Oryzias latipes: one gene and its partners. The main gene of each other region encodes a partner of the protein of the gene in region 2 in a complex. Links are inferred from orthologs where the notes say so. Each region holds a gene or a part of one and is shown on either strand. Other genes may lie near its edges.

Region 1 (3,518 bases), on a different chromosome or scaffold from region 2:
ATACACACACGTACAAACACACAAACACACACAAACACGCACGAACACACCCACACACGCACACACACACGTACATATGCACCTGTACACACACGTACAAACACGCACACACAAACACACACACAAACACGCACGAACACACACACAGGCACACACCTACACACACACACACACAAACAAGCACGCACACACCCACACATGTACACACACACCTGCACACACGCACCTATACACACACGTACAGACACGCACACACAAACACACGCCCACAAACACACACACAAACACGCACGAACACACACACAGGCACACACCCACACACGCACGCACACACCTACACATGCACCTGTACACACACGTACAAACACGCACACACAAACACACGCAAACAAACAAACACGCACGAACACACACACAGGCACACACCTACACACACACACACACACAAACAAGCACGCACACAACCACACATGTACACACACGACCACACACGTACAAACTCACACACACACATACACACACATGCACGCACACAAACACACGTGCACAGTGGTTCTGCTGCCAGACACTGGCACCAACTGGGAGTTCAGTGTTTAACTCAAGGACACTTTGACACTTGGGCAGGTAAGGCACAAAACACACTTGGGACATTCCAATTAGGTATCAGCTGCTGTCCCTCTGCGTCTGCCCCCCACCCCCCACATAATACAATAAAACTAAGACAAATGCTCAGAATGTTTGGAGAATCACATCAGTGATCCGTAAGTTTGAGACCAAAGACTCAATCTGAAGCCTTAAATGCAGCATCCCTACCTGGGATGAGGGGGGTTGGTTAAGATATGGGAGGGGTCTTGTAAAATGAAAAAACTATTGATCATCCCTCATACTCCTACATCATTAAATAGAATCAATTACCTTAGGCACTGCGTGAAAATCGACTGGCTGGTTAGTTTTTTGAACCGTGTTTTTTATCCAGTGTGAGAACAACTGACCAGTCTGAAGCTGCAGAGGTAGAAGAGGGTGAACTGCACATGTGAGGAAGCATGTGTGGGCAGGATGAGCTTGTCAAAGATGCTCAGGAGATCTCGGAACAGCTCCTTGGACCGCTCAGCATGGAAAGAGCCTGCACAGACGACAGGCACGGTGTGGATGCACACGTTTCTGTGGCTGGACCAACACATTCTAGCACAAACACCGTTACACAAGTCCAGCAATGAGACACAAAGAAACGTACTGCGTTAACATTTGATGCAGGTGGCTGAGTCTAACGGCAGTGGATGAAGGACTACACTGCACTGTGGATATCTGCTGCAGAGTCGAGACGTTTCTCTCAGAAGTGACATTTATAAGTGTTCTTTGTGTGAGGGGTCATGTGTGTTCATGGAGGGGAGTGGGTTGTCTTTTTATGTAATATTGTGTTTGTTTTTAAATGTAAAGCACTGAGGCATGAGAAGCACCCTTTTATAAAGTTTGATTTGATTTGATTTGCTGAAGCATCCAAACTGATAGCAGCTTTAAGCTTTGGTCACATGCACGTGTACGGGGGGGGGGGGGTTGATCCGAACGGGCGCTGCAGGTTTTTGGGTTGTCTGGGTCCATGGAGGGTCATTGAGAGGAACCAGTGCAGGAGTGTCCTACACTCCCCTTGAGGCGTGCACGGTCACCTCAGTGTTGTATGTGTGCTACGTGTATCATAGAGAACATCTACGGCTAATGGAAACTTGGAACACACGGGTGATGCTGTGGTACAGTGTCCTTACACCACACTCTAGTCGTCTGAAAGGTCAGAGTTCTGGCTCACCGAATGCAAATGCTGCACACACTGGCGTGCACGTGATACACAAGTGCCCGTCCGTCGGATGTTCACACAAAGTACACCGTCTAATTTCCTCATTTCCAACAGCCAGGATGTGGTAAGGAGCGCCGACTTGAAGACGTCAACCAGTCATCGGTGAACCGTGAACAGAGGACGTGAAGCAGCAGGCCGATCTATCATTGATCAGTGTGACTGTTTCCTCCTGTTGTGTGTCTGTTGTGTGTCTGACCTCTCAGGGAAACAGCTCAGTTGTTTCTCCTTTGTGTTTGCTGGAGGTCAAATGGAGCCGTTTCTTATTCTGGTGGAACATGTAGCTGTTAGCTAGGCCTACTGACGATTAACAGTCACATTCTCCCCAAACTATTTTGACCTTCGGCTTAATAAAACGTATTTCCATCTTAGTTTGACCTTATGAGACACGCTTCAGTGCTGAGGATGTCCCTTCACTTTTGTTTCAACTTTTCACAGAGATCAGTCGTTTAAATGATGTTAATTGATATGAAAACTTTGGTTGAAAAACCCTCACGAAAGTCCTGCTGAACCTGTTCCTCTCTGGAGGTTTCAAATGAACATCAGTGATCAGCCTTATAGACCACTAATCATCAGGAACGGCCCTGGGGGGAGAAATGATAAACCCTCGGTCTGTCCCAGTTTCCCTCTGGGGGGGTTTAGGAGCTGTATTCCATAAGGACCGTTGTGAGTAAGGCATTACTTTGTCTAAGGCCAACGGTGAAGAGAACAAGCAGGCAGAGCAGCAGCTCAGGGGGAATAGGGTTGATGCCGCTGATGTTCCCACATGAATCCTCTGCCTCCATCTAGTCTTCTCCTCTTCTTCACTCACACATCCATCCTCCTTAACAGCCTTCACAAATGTCCTGTGGTCTTCCTCTAGGCTCTTCCCCTGTCCAAACGTCTTCCCTGCACTGATCTCCAGAACCTCCACCATGATCTGTTCCTCTGAAGGATTTCTTCCTTCCACTTTACTCCTTTACACCTCTGAAGTAAAAGTCTTTAGCTAGAGCAGCATCCTTTCTAGATGTGATCTGCCTACCGTTAACGTGGCAGACGTCTTTGATGTAGGCCATCAGTACGGTCATCAGGGCGTCCAGCCTCTCTCCTACCGGGTGGACCGTCACCTTCATCGCCGGTGTTTGTTCCGCCGGGACGTCTTCATCCTGATGGGAAGGAGTTTTTGTTGAAGCAAAGATGTGGAGAACATCCTGACCAGAGATCCGTCTAATGTCAAACGGTTCACAGCGTTACCATGTCGAAGAGCGTCTCCTGGTCTGTGCTCTGCTCCTGAACGCCCTCCTCTGCTCCCTCCAGGTCTGCACGGGAGACACTCACCTGCAACACAGTTGTTAAGGTTAATTAGAACTATTGAGTCTATATGAGAACTGGACAGTGACTCCTCCCCCCTGGCGTTCCAAAAAGGGAGTGGCTCCAAGAAGCTGAAATGCCATGGACTCCTATAGAAACAGCTGTTCCTCAGTCATTCTGTTGATCAGAAGAACCGTTCCTGATCTGATTCTCAACATCTCCTAGACAATCCTCTGTTTTTTCATCATATTTTGTGTGAAGTTCTAGTTATTTCATTTATTAACTGACCAATCAGACGCCTCAGGAAAAGCATGTGGTCTCACATTTGACAGATTCTCCTGAGCCTGCTTTCGATGGAAGGGGTGTGGTCTTCCAACAAGCT
Region 2 (2,873 bases):
TTTAAAGCGCCCAAAAGTCAGATTTAAAAATATTGCCAGAAGTGACCTGAAGGATCTGCAGGAGTCCGACAAACTGGAACCGAGGAACAACCTCACCTGGCTGTGTCCTGGTCCCTCCTCTGCTGAGCTCGGTTCAGAGCGGTCTGCATCAGTTTGTACCACCTTCGCAGGTTAAACTGGGCCCCTGTCAGAGAGAAAGCATGAGCTTGAAGAGCCCCCACCAAGAGGACTCACACACAGGGGGCACTCACGGACCCTCTCCGTCTGTGGACCTGGCGTTGTTGGACAGCTCCCTGAAACCAGGAGAACCGCAGTGAGACGACCTGTCTGTGGAATGGATGTAGGGGGGTGGGGAGGGCAGGGCAGGGGGGGTTACCATTCGGTGTGGTCGTCCAGGCCAAAGAGGAGCTTCATGGTGACGATAATGAGCGCTGCCGCCTGCAGGTCGTACCGGGGCAGGGTGGGCTGGGACTCGGGGTGGAACGTCTGGCGGCTTTCATGGAACAAACCTGCGAGCTCCGCCACTCTGCAGACCCACCTGTGCAGCTCACCTGCAGACAGGAAGGAGCCGCTCAGCCCGCGCAGCATGCATGTCTGTCTGTCAGCTGGGACGGAGGAAGCTGTTACCGGGCAGGTTTGCATCGATCAGGTAGCGCAGGCTCAGTGGCCCCGGGTGGAGCAGAGTCTGCTGGCTGATGGGAGGAAACGCTGGAAGTTGCAGGAACAGAAGCAGATCCTGAGCCTCCTTATGCAGCGAGCGGTGAGACGGTACCGTCTGCAGAGACAGTTCACCACATCGTCAACAAACAGGAGAACACAGGGCAGAGGTCAGCAGCTCACTCACTCCAGGTCGTTACCTCTGCAGTAAACAGAAGAGCATCTTTGCCGAACAGCTTCATCTGCTCTGGGAGCTGCTCATGGGCCTTCACATACGGGACGCTTCCACAGTTCACCAGTCTGAGAGCAAACACAGGATCAGCCCAACATCCAGCAGTCCAACGCCTGGTTTGGAGGAGCAGATTACCCAAGCAGGTCGCTGAGAGTCAGCGCCTCCCGGCTCCAGACCAAGGCCAAGTGGATCAGGGCCAGAGTCTTCTTCAGGCTCAGGAGTCTATGGCTCCGCCTCTGACGGGGAGTCAGGTAACAGAGGCTGTCCGCTGATCCAGACCAGTCACTGCCTGAGGGATTAGGCTACATTTCAACATACAATACTCACAATACGTCATGGATATTGTGAAAAAAACAACAAACTCAGTGGATGTGATATACACAGAGACGTGGTGAGCGATACGCCGAGGTCAAAGGTCCTCAGGGTTGGCTTTGGGGAAGGAGGTGTAACAGTCTGGACAGGTATCACCAGTCAGGGTCAAACTGATTTGGTTATTGTAAATGACCCAGTCACTGAATGTTCTAACCTCAGAGACATCATAGAACCATTCTCATCCCCCAATTCCACCAGAACACCCCCAGCTTTCTGTTCATGGATGATTACACCCTATCACATGGTACCAGTACTGTCACAGCAGGACTTCAGGAAGTGGGAGTAGCTCATGTGGTATGACCAGCAATGACCCTTGACCTGAAACCCATAGAGAACGTCTGGGACCAGCTGAAGCAGACTGGATGATGGTATCCCACCCCCAAGTGAGCTGCAGAACTACATGCAGCACTTATGGAAGATTGGTTCAGACCAACACCATGAGGTTGGTGAGGAGACGTCACTGTCAAGCTGCTGTTGATGCAAATGCTGCAAATACCCACTATTGACATTTCTGTTATTTGGGGCTATTTTTATTATTGTCCTCATTTTAGGGGTAATATTAACCTAATGAAAATGTTTTTTTCTCATTAATTTTTAGTTATTAGTAATATCTCCAACTTTCTGTCAGTAGTCTAATTCAATAATTAGATAATAATAATAATTCACTCATTTCAAAGTCAGACCCCCCTGTAGTCCCCCAGACGGCAGAGATCTGAGGTCTGGCGTCTCCATAGTCCAGTGACCAAAGACTTCATGGCTGACCCCAGCTGCTCCTGCTGGGGGAGTCAAACATACCTCCTTTAGAGCTGGGGCTGCTGCAGGGATTTGACTCTCCATCCGTCCCGCTGGCTGATGCCACAGACGCCTCGGCTGCGCTGTCTGAATCCGAGTCTGCGTCTCCCTGGGGGGGGGGGGGACAGAACAGAAGGCTGCTGCAGTCATCATCACTCTTCCTCTGAAGACATTTATGTTTGTTCCTGCATTTGAGTGGATCTAAAAATTCAGACTAAACTGATATCCCTCCAGTTATGAAAAAGCATGGAGAGCATATGAATAAATAAACATCCGTGTTAGTACTCATTGAAATCATGTATATGATTATCTCAGCACAGATTTTCAAAGGAAGGTGAGTCACAGACTGAAACTGACCACTCTGAACTTGGCGCTCCTAACTCGGTTGACGCAGTAAGCCTGCCGGCTCTTCTGCAAGTAGAGCCTCCACAGCTGACGCAGCACGCCGTCCTAAAGCGGCGAGCCACACACTGATCAGACGGGCTCAGGCATCGATGGCAGATCAATACGGACAGATTCAGACCTTGAAGTGAGGATGGACTCCCAGCCTAAGCAGGGCATCCGCCTGGTTCATCAGGATGAACTGGAAACCTTCACAGACCATCCATGTGTGACGGCCACCTGAACGACACAGAACACGTGTGAGACAAAGAAACACAAACGTTTCAGATGGGCACTGCCATCAAACTGAGAGGAACCCAAAAGCATTTTCAAAGATCTAAAACTGGAAACGAAGCAAATGTCTGAATGAGAGTTCCAGAGTTTAGAAGCAACAAGGATTCATGGAGGAGCCTGAAGATCAGAGGATGCTGGAGGAAGA
Region 3 (2,418 bases), on a different chromosome or scaffold from region 2:
AAATGCTTCGACCGTTCAATGTGGAACCACCCACTCTTATTAAGTCATGTGATTGGTCAGTTTATAACTTGAAAAAGTTGCGCTACAACAAAAATATGGGAAAAAAATAGGATTGTCAAGAAAATGTTTTAAAAAAAATTTTACAGACAAAGAAGGATTATTTGGACCAACAGAATGACTGAGTAACAGCTTTTCATTTTAGATTCTTGGAGTCAGAAGCTACTTCCTGTTTGGAACGCCAGGGGGAGGGGCCACTCAGTCTAGTTCTCTAATTGGCTACAGACCTTGTCAATGAATCTCCTCTGTGTTGTGTCTTCTGGACAGAAAGTGTTCAGTTTTGCCAAATTTTCATAAATATTTAATCGCGATCAGATCTTTGTTTTTATTCTGAAATCCTGGTCTCTCTTTTTTTCTATTTTTAGAGCGTATCCCCCCGGGATACATGAGGGAAGGCTGTACTGTAAATGTTATGACCTTGACTTTTAAATCTTAAAGTTCTAGTTTCATGTTCCTCGTCTTTAACACTGCAGGAGAGAATGACTGCATGGCTGGTGTCTGTGAAGCTGTCCTTTGACAAAAGAGGATCCAAAGTGTTTGCAAGGGGATGGAGCACAGAAAATGTCATAAAGATGCTGAACATGGGCTCTGATGTCACCAAACCTTTTGAATATCTCTTGGCTACTGGAAACCTAAATTCTAAGACGGGTGCATATCCACACTCTTTATATATATATTTTTAAACTTCAATAGTTGCTTTGTTCTAAATGTTTTCTTTCACAGGTCTCGGCATGCTGCAGAACTCGGGCCTCTGCGTTGTCGCTGACAAGCTGAACTTCATCCGCTACCTTTCTCACTTCCGCTGTGTGCACAGAGGAGCAGCGTTCGCCAAGATGAGGACCACCTCAGTCCGTAAGCTGCTGCCCGAGTCCTGGGGCTTCCTGTGTCCCGTCCACACTCCAGACGGAGAGCCTTGTGGACTCATGAACCACATGACTGCCAGCTGTGAGGTGGTGGCAGCATCCAGTCCCACCACGTCGCTGCCTGCACTGCTCTGTTCCCTCGGTAAGCTCCAAACATTTTTACAAAGTGCACATTGCTCCTCAGCGGCTGAAAATGGAAATGGTCCTGTTTTCGGTGTGTGAGGTGTTACTCCGGTGGATGGTACTCCTGCTCAGGCCTTCTCTGACTGCTACCCTGTGGTGTTGGATGGCTCTGTTGTTGGCTGGGTGGAGACCGACTTGGCTCCAGCTGTTGTTGATGCAATGCGGAGGTTCAAGGTACGAGAAGGATGTTAGACAAGTAGTGACCTTGGAAGCAGAAACCTGATGACTAACGTGTGTGCAGGTGCTGAGGGAGAGGAAGGTTCCTCCCTGGACTGAGATCGTCCTGGTTCCTAAAACTGGAAAAGCCAGCTTGTATCCAGGTCTGTTCCTCTTCACAACACCTTGCCGGATGATGCGGCCCGTTCAAAACCTGGCTCTTGGCAAACAGGAGTTCATTGGCACCTTTGAGCAGGTATATGTTTAGCTGGTGCACGTTGAAAGACATTCTTGCCATCGAGACGGTCATCGGAGGACAGCTGTCCAAGTAAAACGGGTTTACTTTTCTGCCGTAGCTTTACACCAATGTTGGAATTTTAGAAGAGGAGATTGAAGCAGGAGTTACCACACACCAGGAGCTCTTCCCTCACAGTATGCTGAGCGTGGTGGCAAACTTCATCCCTTTCTCAGACCACAACCAGAGTCCTAGAAACATGTACCAGTGTCAGATGGGTAAGTGGGTGGGATCAGAAATGTTCATTGAAGGCTAACACCAATTTGGAGTCCAAAGTCCTGAAATTGTTGACCCTAAACTGTTTGTTTCAGGTAAACAAACGATGGGCTTCCCTCTACACTCGTTTATGGATCGCTCGGACAATAAGCTGTACCGACTACAGACGCCACAGAGCGCCCTCGTCAGGCCCTACATGTACGATCACTACAATCTGGACAACTATCCAAGCGGCACAAACGCCATCGTCGCCGTCATATCCTACACCGGCTACGACATGGAAGATGCTATGGTGAATTCAACACAATAGTTTTTACATTTCTACAGATGGGATTTGATCATCTTTTGAGCTATTTTCAAAGCATTCCCAGTAGGGATGCTACTCCATTCTGATCATCCTCTTACAGATAGATCCATGAACGTCTTTATTTTCCTCGTCTGAGCTGGAATCTGGCTCTAAACTGTACGGCTGGATAGCTCTGATATTGGTCGACATTTTTGTTTCTCTGATAATGTTAGTTAGGGGTTGTGACGGGAATTGGTTTGCCTGAGATGGTGTAAACAAAGGCATGATGGGAAATGGAGGAAGGGTCACTCTATGCCAGCGGTCCCGCCCACAACTTCAGGGTGAATTTCTGATGAACTCCT
Region 4 (4,183 bases), on a different chromosome or scaffold from region 2:
TTCTCCCCTGAGCACTGGTTTTTCCTCCAGCGCCGCGCGTCTCTCTGCCAGGGCAAACACTCCCTTTGAACAATGCCGACCTGTTGAGCTGCTTCATTCACATGGTTCCGTGGATAAACTCAGAGAGAGCCTCCGTCTGTTTTCTGACGGCTTCACCAAATCCACAAGGGCTGTAGCCTCAAGGAAAATAAAGACCCGCTGACATCAAAGCTGCATCAATCAAACACCACATGATTCTTGAAGTTTAATCAACTGATTTGGTTCTTTTTTTAAATGACCAAAACTGACCATTTTTTCCCTGACTATGACTCATGCTGACATTAAAACTTTAATAATAACAGTCAGAAACCGTGAAATTATCATAAAAAAAGACTTTATTTATAACAATAAAACAGATGATCTCTGATCAAAATCAACACTTGGAATACTTACAACAAAAGTTCAGTTTGTTAAAAAAATGTGTTTAAACAAAGTTATGTCTCCCCCTACTGGCTCATGCTTGCAAAGCAGGTTTTAAAATGACTGCATTTGCTGCTTCTGTTTGGTATCATCGAAGCTCTGAAGTTCAGCTGAAAGTCCAGGTTTGTTTAGTCGGTAATGATGAGCTCATCACAGCCCCAGTCCTCGTAGCTGCCGTCGGGGAGGTACCTGCGGATGATGATGGGGATCTTTCTGCTCCTGTTCAGAACAAACGGCAAACATTGAGTTACCAGGAACAAAACAAGATGAAAGAATTTAGACAGAAATGGAATAATCTGATGTACTTTAGTTCCTTCATGGCGATCTGCAAGGGGTCTGTTTCTCCCTCCAACTCGACCATCACAGGAGCGCACATGCTGTCGGCAGAACAACGACAAAATCCTCAAAATAAATCCCAAATTGAAGTAAAATGTCATTATTTTAAAGCCAGAAAACAGGCGGGGCAGAGGATTCATGGACTGTTCATTCACACACACACTTTTCAAACCAGTGTGTCCTTAAACGGCCCAAACACAAAAACACAGAGATGTCAACAACCAGGTTCAAACCCAGAACCTGCCTTCAAAGCTGCAAAACTGAGAAATGTAATTCAGTGTCATTTTGACAAAATGAGATGCAAAGATTTTTTTGTTTGTCCCTGAAACACGTGATCTGCAGCAACCAGTTGGGACCTCGTGATGGGCCCATAGCACAGCTGGGGGGCTTTTCTCTAGCTGGGCCAGGGCGTGCATTCTCCATGCTCCTGTGACTCCTTGCTCTTTGGTGCTGGGGACTATTTCGGCAGTCCCTCCTCTGGTATGGATGGCTGGTATCGGGTCACTGGGGTGGTGGATTCCCTCCTGGCTGTGGTGGTCCTGGCTGCCGCTACTGCCTCACCTCATTCTGGGGGGCTTGGTGTGGGACGACCAGGTGCTCCCCCCCTTTTTTTTATTCATTACGCTTCATACCATCATTGTCCACAGTAGAACACAGACAAAAAAACTAAGCACCAATGCCCACTCACCTTGGCTCAGAAAAGGACTTTTGTATGAGATTGTATCTGCTTTTATGCAAATGAAGGTGCATATTTATCTGATCTCTATCTGTGTTGTGTACATGACAATATGCAAGAGTGAAGGTTTTTGAGGGCAACAGGAATGTTTATAATATTCAGTGTGTGCGATAAACATAAACATCTAATTGTGAAAGTTATAAATAACCTCTAGCAACGTTTTGTCTCTTTTTGTTTGCAATGGTGTGTTTCTTTGGTGACTCTCCAACTTCTATATGTCCTTTTCTATCTTGTCCCCCCCATCCCTAATATCCCACTATCCTTCTCCGTTTTCTCCGGTCCAAAAAGGAATGGACACAAGTCCATCATTTTTCTAAAACCGGCCTATTGTAGATCAGGGTCTGAAGGAGCCTATCCTAGCTGTTTTGGGGCAAAGATGGGGTACATGCAGCATAGTTCAATAAGCACAAATATTAATAAAATAAAGTTAAGCCTCAATACAAAAAGGTTTGTAGTGACATAAACCTCCTCTGCCCAAAGCTTCAAAACTCCTATGGTAACATTACAATCTGTCCAACACCAGGGGCCTTCAGCTCTCATCTGTTTGATCAGCTGCTCCACACGACAAATTAGCAAAATAAAATAAGAAGAACAACAAAGCCACAAATGTTTGGAAGCCTAACTTATTGGTTTAGAAGAGTAAAGCGCTTATTTTACAGTAAACAACTCACGCTATTTGGAGGGCTCGTGTTCCCAGCACTCTCGCTCTCTCATATTTGGTCATGTGCGGTGTTGTAATCCTTTTCTGGTTAGCCTGCTGCCCCTCTCCTGCGGGGAGGATCTGTACGTTCTCCTGGTCCTCCTGATGATCATCCAAGGAAAACAAGCATCTGATTAGACTGCCAGATAGAAATCATGAATAATGAACCCCAAATATGATCCACTAAATGAAAAAAGTGCAGACGAACATACATCTTCCACGTTTTCCAGATCGTCTAATCCTTCGTCCTCATCGGCGTCCTCAAAGTCTCCATCATCAAAGCTGCAAATGTTGACAAAAACTGTATCAAAGACCGAAAACGGTGAAGTCGTAACCTAGCTTAGCTAACAGGCTACACGCTAAAATAGATTTAAAATTAACATATACCATGACATTATTTGATGAACATAGATCACAACTTACTTGTCTTCGTTATCAGACATGTTTTAACTTATATTTTTTCCAATATAGATACTAATAGAGTTTATTAGCAGCAAATTTAATTTAGAGGCTAAACCACATTGAGCGTTGTGGTCTCTAAACTTCCGGTGCGCGTGTACGCTGAAAAATTATGTCCGGCTTCTCAACTAGAATTTCTTTTTTTGTCCTACCTTTTTCTAATTCAATTTAAAAACAAGCAAACAAATAGTATATAAAAAGCTTACTTTCTATTATAGTCAAGTATCCTAAACAAAATAAACTTCAACTAGAAATAAATATAAATCCATCAAACTATGGAAAACCAAGGCTGTACCTTTAGAGAAAAAGAAGACACCAAAATGATAGTTTTCAACATTTATTTTAATGTACCCTTGAGAGAAAATGAATACTAATAATTCTTAATTTTTTGCCCTGCATTTATAGAAAACGAGTAACAATGGCATGTCACTTAGTGCAAAGTTAAAGAACAGAATTGGGTCAACCGAATGCGAAAAAACATTCAGAGCTAAGGCTGGATTCTGTTTTTTTTACTCTTCATCTAATATATTTTCCTACGTGATCAAATGAAAAGATATTCACAATAAACAACATAAAAATGTTTTTGCAAGTGCTTTCCTGTCTTATGTAAGAATACTCATTGCAAGAAGTAGTCTATTTAAGTGTACTACAAGTATACTTATAAATGTGAGGCAGTATACTTGACGTTTATTTTTTTAAAATATAATGTCAAGATAAAATCTAGATATTGTAAACTTAAAATTTCCAATTTCCAGTCTCAAGAAATATTCTGTTAGTATACTTCATCTCTACACTACATGAACATGGTCTTTAGTACAGCGTACTTGCTTTATACTTATATTCAAGCAAACTTAAAAAAATAAAAGCGTCAACTTTTTGCTAGGGTTAAGCTCAAACAGCTGGCACTTTGTCAAAGAACAGATCCATTTAGATTCTTCACTTATTTAATAAAATGTGTCTATACAAAAGAGATTTCTTTTAAAACAATTCTTCATTACCTATTTTATAAATATAGCAGTGGATGGGTAAGAATTTCTAAACACAAAAAGGAAGAAATGTTCACGTTTTTAACAACAAAATTAATCCTGTTTGTTGGTTACACATAAACTTTTTTTTTTCAAATATAGCCCAACTATGAAATATGCAATTGATTCTTTGTTAATTTAGTAAACAACAAGTTGCAATAATTTACAATAAAAGTGAACATTTGACAGGAGATTCTTGTCACAACCTTTTAAAAAAATGTCACTTGTAAAATTGCTCTCTTTCACAGTTTTCTATACATTTTCTGATGAACCCCTTTAACCAAATTACTAAAAAAAACTAAAAAGTAAATATAGCAAAAGATAGTGCAGGAATCTGCATGGCTGATTTTGTCTCAGAAGAAATCTGTAGGACAACAACTTTAAGCATTTTCTAGTGATGCAGGTTTGGAAAAATATTTTTCTTAAAACAGGGTTTTAAAAAAGTGGTAAAAAAATAACATCAGTAGG
Region 5 (3,992 bases), on a different chromosome or scaffold from region 2:
GATGAAGAGTTTTTGTAAGAGTTTACTTTTATGCCAAATAGCTTGCCTGCTTGTGCATCTCCTGTGGATAATAGATGAGGGGGGCAGTTATTAAAAAGGCTTTAGAGAGAGATTGGGGGGGGGGGGGGGGTATAGGTATGATGGAGAGCTACTGAGGCCCAGGAGGACCAAACTAGACCAAGGAGGTTGAACTGTTTTTTTCTAAATGCTGCTGGCAACTTAACAGGGCAGTTGTGGTGCAGAAGTAGAGCGGTCAACCCCTGATCAAGAGGTTGCAGGTTTAATTCCCACCCTACCCGCCCATGTGTCCAAGGTTAAGACACTGAACCCCACCTTGCTTCTGGGGGTTATAGGTTGGCAACATGGTTTGGTAGCTGAGCCACAATCAGTGTGTGTGTTCATGGGTGAATGGAACTGTGACTGTAAAATGCTCCAAGAAGATAGTTAAGGGGCTAAATAAGTATACGCCGTTTACCATTCTGCTTCAATAAATCAACAAAAAGAACATGTCAGATACCAAGAGCGTTCTTTATCATTTAAAGAACAATTTAACAGCCATGTGAGATGTAAGTTGAAGCCTTACTGGATACAACAGTTCAAATTTGGTAGAATACTTTATAAAAACATAGGATGACAGTTTTCTGGTCTTTGACAAGAGTTTTAAAGAAATTAATCAAACTATAAAGAGATCATTTTCTGAGAAAATGCGCGCAAGTACTAACAGCTGTCCAGTTGAGAATCAGGGTATGCTTCAGGAAAAATAAATATAAACAGCTGATACAGTTTTATTGTTTCTGGTTAGTTTGCTGAGTTGCTGTCCTGCTCCTTCACTTTAGTTGACTTGTGTAAAATGTATACCTGATTGTCCTGAGCCTCCGTGGCTGCAGTTTAAATCTGAGACATCGATTCCTGTTTTTTTTCTTGTAGAGTCCCGATGAACTGACCAGTGTCATGTGTGACAAAGGTGGAGAGGACCAACACGTGCACCAGAACATGCACAAGTTCAGTTTAACAAACAGAAACAGCTCATCACTACAAAAAAGCAGCTCCCTGGATCAAAACAGAACCAGAGTTGAGGTGATTGTGATCAGATAGTAAGCAAAAGCTTTTCTCAGGAGTCCTCCTTTTCCTGGAACCTGAAACAAGACAAAGACCGGTCAGCTCCAGAACCGTACAGCAGGACAGGAGGGTCACGCTGACGCCACCTACCTGCAGTGGATGCAGGTGAAGAAGACCGTCTGTCCTTCATCTGCAGATCTCATCTGCCTAGTGTGGTAGATCATGCCTTCCTTATTGCAGCGAGTGCAGCGTCGGTCAATCTGCAAGCAAGGCAAGAAGCAAACCGTGAGGCGTTACCGCGACAACGAACGCTCCACTGCTGAGCGGACGGCTGCTTTTACCACAGGGCCCTTCAGCTCTGAGTTCTCCTCATCCTCCAGAGCCAGCAAGGTCTGCTCAGCGGGGTTGAAGATAACCCCAGACTGAATTTCTCTTCCCAAGAACTCTGCAGAGCAAAAGCAGCACAGTTAGAGGATTGGACAGATTAGACCTGTTAGAGAGACATCAGGAGAACCCTTTTGTCAGTGCAGACTGGCTCAAATAATTTCATGAAAGCATTAAGAGTAACTTTCAGCAACAGAGTTCTTCTGAATCCTCAACATCCTTCCCATGACCTGTGATAGTGTCACGTGGTAAAGGACACATGTATGAGCTGCCAGTGGATCTCCAACCCCAATATGAGGCCTTCCCAGGGAGGAGGAGTGAGCCCAGCAGAGGTTACTGTCTCATCACTGCTCCACAGACCGGCTGAGGAAGAAATTCAATGACTGATGTTGATCATATGCTAAATTGATTTGTCTGAAATGTTTCATTTGAGCAGTTTTAGGTGGTTGCTTTTTATTTCCCATTCTTGTTAAAGCATACTAGTCATTAAGAAAGGAGGGCAGTCAAATCAGAGAAACTAAAAAATCAAGGAAGAACTTACACATAATGTGAACTTAAAGGTAGTTGCTGATCAAAAACAAATAAAAAATGGAGGGAAATGTCAGACTGAGTGCCTCATTTTCAGTAAACCGGTAGTTTTGACTGTACTCTTGGTGCTTAAAAGCCATTCGGTTCTTGAGGGACATGAACCAGCAGCAGAGCAGGCAGACTCTCATGGCGGCGTGGACCGCTTACCTGTCACGGGCGTGCAGAGACAGCAGCGAGGGCAGCGCACCGTGTCGGACAGTCCTGGCAACGGCAGGACGCTGCCACAATCCTGACAGAAGTTGGGGTCGCGGCCGTTTGAAGACATTTGCTCTGGTTCTGAGGAAGCGCGGCGGCTATGTTCAGAGCACGTGACACAACAACAGTCCGACAGACAGATAGCTAACACATCATGCTAACTTGCAGGCACGTGGGTGGGCGCGCGCGGGCTCTCGGAGGAGTGATTTGAGGATAATTACCTGATCGATGGCTGTTTGCACAAAAACAGACAATAATTTACTTTCTCCTCGCCCGCATTGGGTGTTGTTGTGCGCTCTTCTTCTTCATGTTAACTAGAAGATGGTAATGTCACGTAAACACGAGCGCCTCGTAGTGGACAGAAATGTGAATGACACCATTGTAGTTTTCCTTCATTTGACCCTAAATTTTAAGGATGTTCCAACGTTTTACAACTCAAAAGACCTTATTTATTCGTAGTTGACTCTTATAAATTCATCACTTACTACTGTTGTAAGTTATATGAAGGTTTTAGACTACTGTAACTTTATAAGTGTGTTTTAATCCAGATATTTTCACCTCTAATGTTTCAGTTAGCCAAAAATCGAATTAATAAATGTCATTTTGTTTCCTTTCTCGCAAATGTTTGATGGTTTTTCTGTCTTTTTAAATCCATTATTTTAAAAAAAATAATTTTAAAATGTATTTAGCAAATTAAGCACTTAGCTTGCATCAAATTCCTTTGGTTGCTCAACATATTTAGTTGTTTTTTTGTTATTTCTCACAGCAGTATTATCTTGTAATATTGCATTTGTGGCATTGTTCATTATTGAGTTTTTCTAATAATTTCAGATGTTTAGCAAATTTAGGAATTATCAGTTCACCTGGGAGCTTTTGCATTTAAGTATTCAAGCTGGCAACAATTTAATTGAATAGCCTCCTTTATTTTTCCTAGGAATTAATGCTTTTCCTGGTAAATCCTGTTTGTACTTCTGGCCACAATTGCATATCTACATGTAGTTTTTTGCAGTTTCCTCTCAAATAATTGTAATTAAATTCCGATCTGTAAAAAATTGAGCCTCCAGTTTCACACACAAGGCAATTAATCCGTATTTATATCTTTGCCCACAGCCTCAAGACAAAATTAGATTTAAACAAGGTTTTTAAAAATAAATTACAACCTGATAAAATAAAAACAACCTGCTTGCCTATTTAAATCGACATAAATTGGCAAGCAGGGGGCATAAAACAACTAGAGCACATAATTATTGATAGTAGATTCATAACTCCCCAGGAACTTCAAGACAAACATGGAATAAATAACTTCTTGGAATATCAGCAACTTAAATCAATTATTACTAAAAAGTTTAAATACAGAGACAACGATTTCAAGCTACCAGACGTAGTTACCACTCTGATTAATTTCTCAATGAAAAAAACTCTCTCCAAAATATACAAACTTTTATGTAATTTAGATAATAATATTTCACTTCCGACAACAAAATGGGATGCGGATTTGAGCATCAGCACAGATTAAAGCTTCTGGTCAGAACTTTGTCTAAACACCTTTAAACTGACCAAAAGTCCAAATCTGCAGCTAATCCATTTCAAAACTCTTCACAGAATTTACTACACTGGACAGAGGATGGTCAAGATGGGTTTCAGTAACTCAGACATTTGTGAGCACTGTGAAAGTAATCTACCCGACAGTTACATGCATGCACTATGGTTCTGCACGCCTGTCCAGGCTCTCTGGCAGCAGGTATGTGCCGATCTATCAGTCTGGC

The links.
Region 1: taf1b (region 2) and rrn3 share a complex: the UniProt entries of both Homo sapiens proteins name them as parts of the pol I pre-initiation complex. The link is inferred for Oryzias latipes from reciprocal best matches to the Homo sapiens genes TAF1B and RRN3.
Region 3: taf1b (region 2) and polr1b share a complex: the UniProt entries of both Homo sapiens proteins name them as parts of the pol I pre-initiation complex. The link is inferred for Oryzias latipes from reciprocal best matches to the Homo sapiens genes TAF1B and POLR1B.
Region 4: taf1b (region 2) and polr2f share a complex: the UniProt entries of both Homo sapiens proteins name them as parts of the pol I pre-initiation complex. The link is inferred for Oryzias latipes from reciprocal best matches to the Homo sapiens genes TAF1B and POLR2F.
Region 5: taf1b (region 2) and znrd1 share a complex: the UniProt entries of both Homo sapiens proteins name them as parts of the pol I pre-initiation complex. The link is inferred for Oryzias latipes from reciprocal best matches to the Homo sapiens genes TAF1B and POLR1H.

What each region holds. Positions count from the first base shown.
Region 1 is NC_019866.2:25,533,905-25,537,422, forward strand, and holds part of rrn3 (RNA polymerase I-specific transcription initiation factor RRN3), read right to left. Parts: intron 3,164-3,518; coding exon 3,080-3,163; intron 2,992-3,079; coding exon 2,868-2,991; intron 1,124-2,867; coding exon 993-1,123; intron 1-992. UniProt on the Homo sapiens protein: Required for efficient transcription initiation by RNA polymerase I (Pol I). Required for the formation of the competent pre-initiation complex (PIC).
Region 2 is NC_019882.2:22,300,531-22,303,403, forward strand, and holds part of taf1b (TATA box-binding protein-associated factor RNA polymerase I subunit B), read right to left. Parts: intron 2,675-2,873; coding exon 2,577-2,674; intron 2,504-2,576; coding exon 2,411-2,503; intron 2,163-2,410; coding exon 2,057-2,162; intron 1,179-2,056; coding exon 1,025-1,178; intron 958-1,024; coding exon 858-957; intron 776-857; coding exon 628-775; intron 552-627; coding exon 377-551; intron 294-376; coding exon 256-293; intron 185-255; coding exon 97-184; intron 1-96. UniProt on the Homo sapiens protein: Component of RNA polymerase I core factor complex that acts as a GTF2B/TFIIB-like factor and plays a key role in multiple steps during transcription initiation such as pre-initiation complex (PIC) assembly and postpolymerase recruitment events in polymerase I (Pol I) transcription.
Region 3 is NC_019873.2:3,647,207-3,649,624, reverse strand, and holds part of polr1b (DNA-directed RNA polymerase I subunit RPA2), read left to right. Parts: intron 1-530; coding exon 531-705; intron 706-780; coding exon 781-1,062; intron 1,063-1,143; coding exon 1,144-1,277; intron 1,278-1,344; coding exon 1,345-1,515; intron 1,516-1,615; coding exon 1,616-1,772; intron 1,773-1,865; coding exon 1,866-2,062; intron 2,063-2,418. UniProt on the Homo sapiens protein: Catalytic core component of RNA polymerase I (Pol I), a DNA-dependent RNA polymerase which synthesizes ribosomal RNA precursors using the four ribonucleoside triphosphates as substrates.
Region 4 is NC_019866.2:19,813,551-19,817,733, reverse strand, and holds polr2f (DNA-directed RNA polymerases I, II, and III subunit RPABC2), read right to left. Parts: upstream 2,810-4,183; 5' UTR 2,675-2,809; coding exon 2,655-2,674; intron 2,514-2,654; coding exon 2,444-2,513; intron 2,334-2,443; coding exon 2,203-2,333; intron 837-2,202; coding exon 765-836; intron 679-764; coding exon 588-678; 3' UTR 357-587; downstream 1-356. UniProt on the Homo sapiens protein: DNA-dependent RNA polymerase catalyzes the transcription of DNA into RNA using the four ribonucleoside triphosphates as substrates.
Region 5 is NC_019869.2:21,549,145-21,553,136, reverse strand, and holds znrd1 (DNA-directed RNA polymerase I subunit RPA12), read right to left. Parts: upstream 2,570-3,992; 5' UTR 2,448-2,569; exon of another isoform or gene 2,308-2,447; 5' UTR 2,297-2,307; coding exon 2,179-2,296; intron 1,505-2,178; coding exon 1,401-1,504; intron 1,320-1,400; coding exon 1,210-1,319; intron 1,137-1,209; coding exon 1,112-1,136; 3' UTR 510-1,111; downstream 1-509. UniProt on the Homo sapiens protein: Core component of RNA polymerase I (Pol I), a DNA-dependent RNA polymerase which synthesizes ribosomal RNA precursors using the four ribonucleoside triphosphates as substrates. Can mediate Pol I proofreading of the nascent RNA transcript.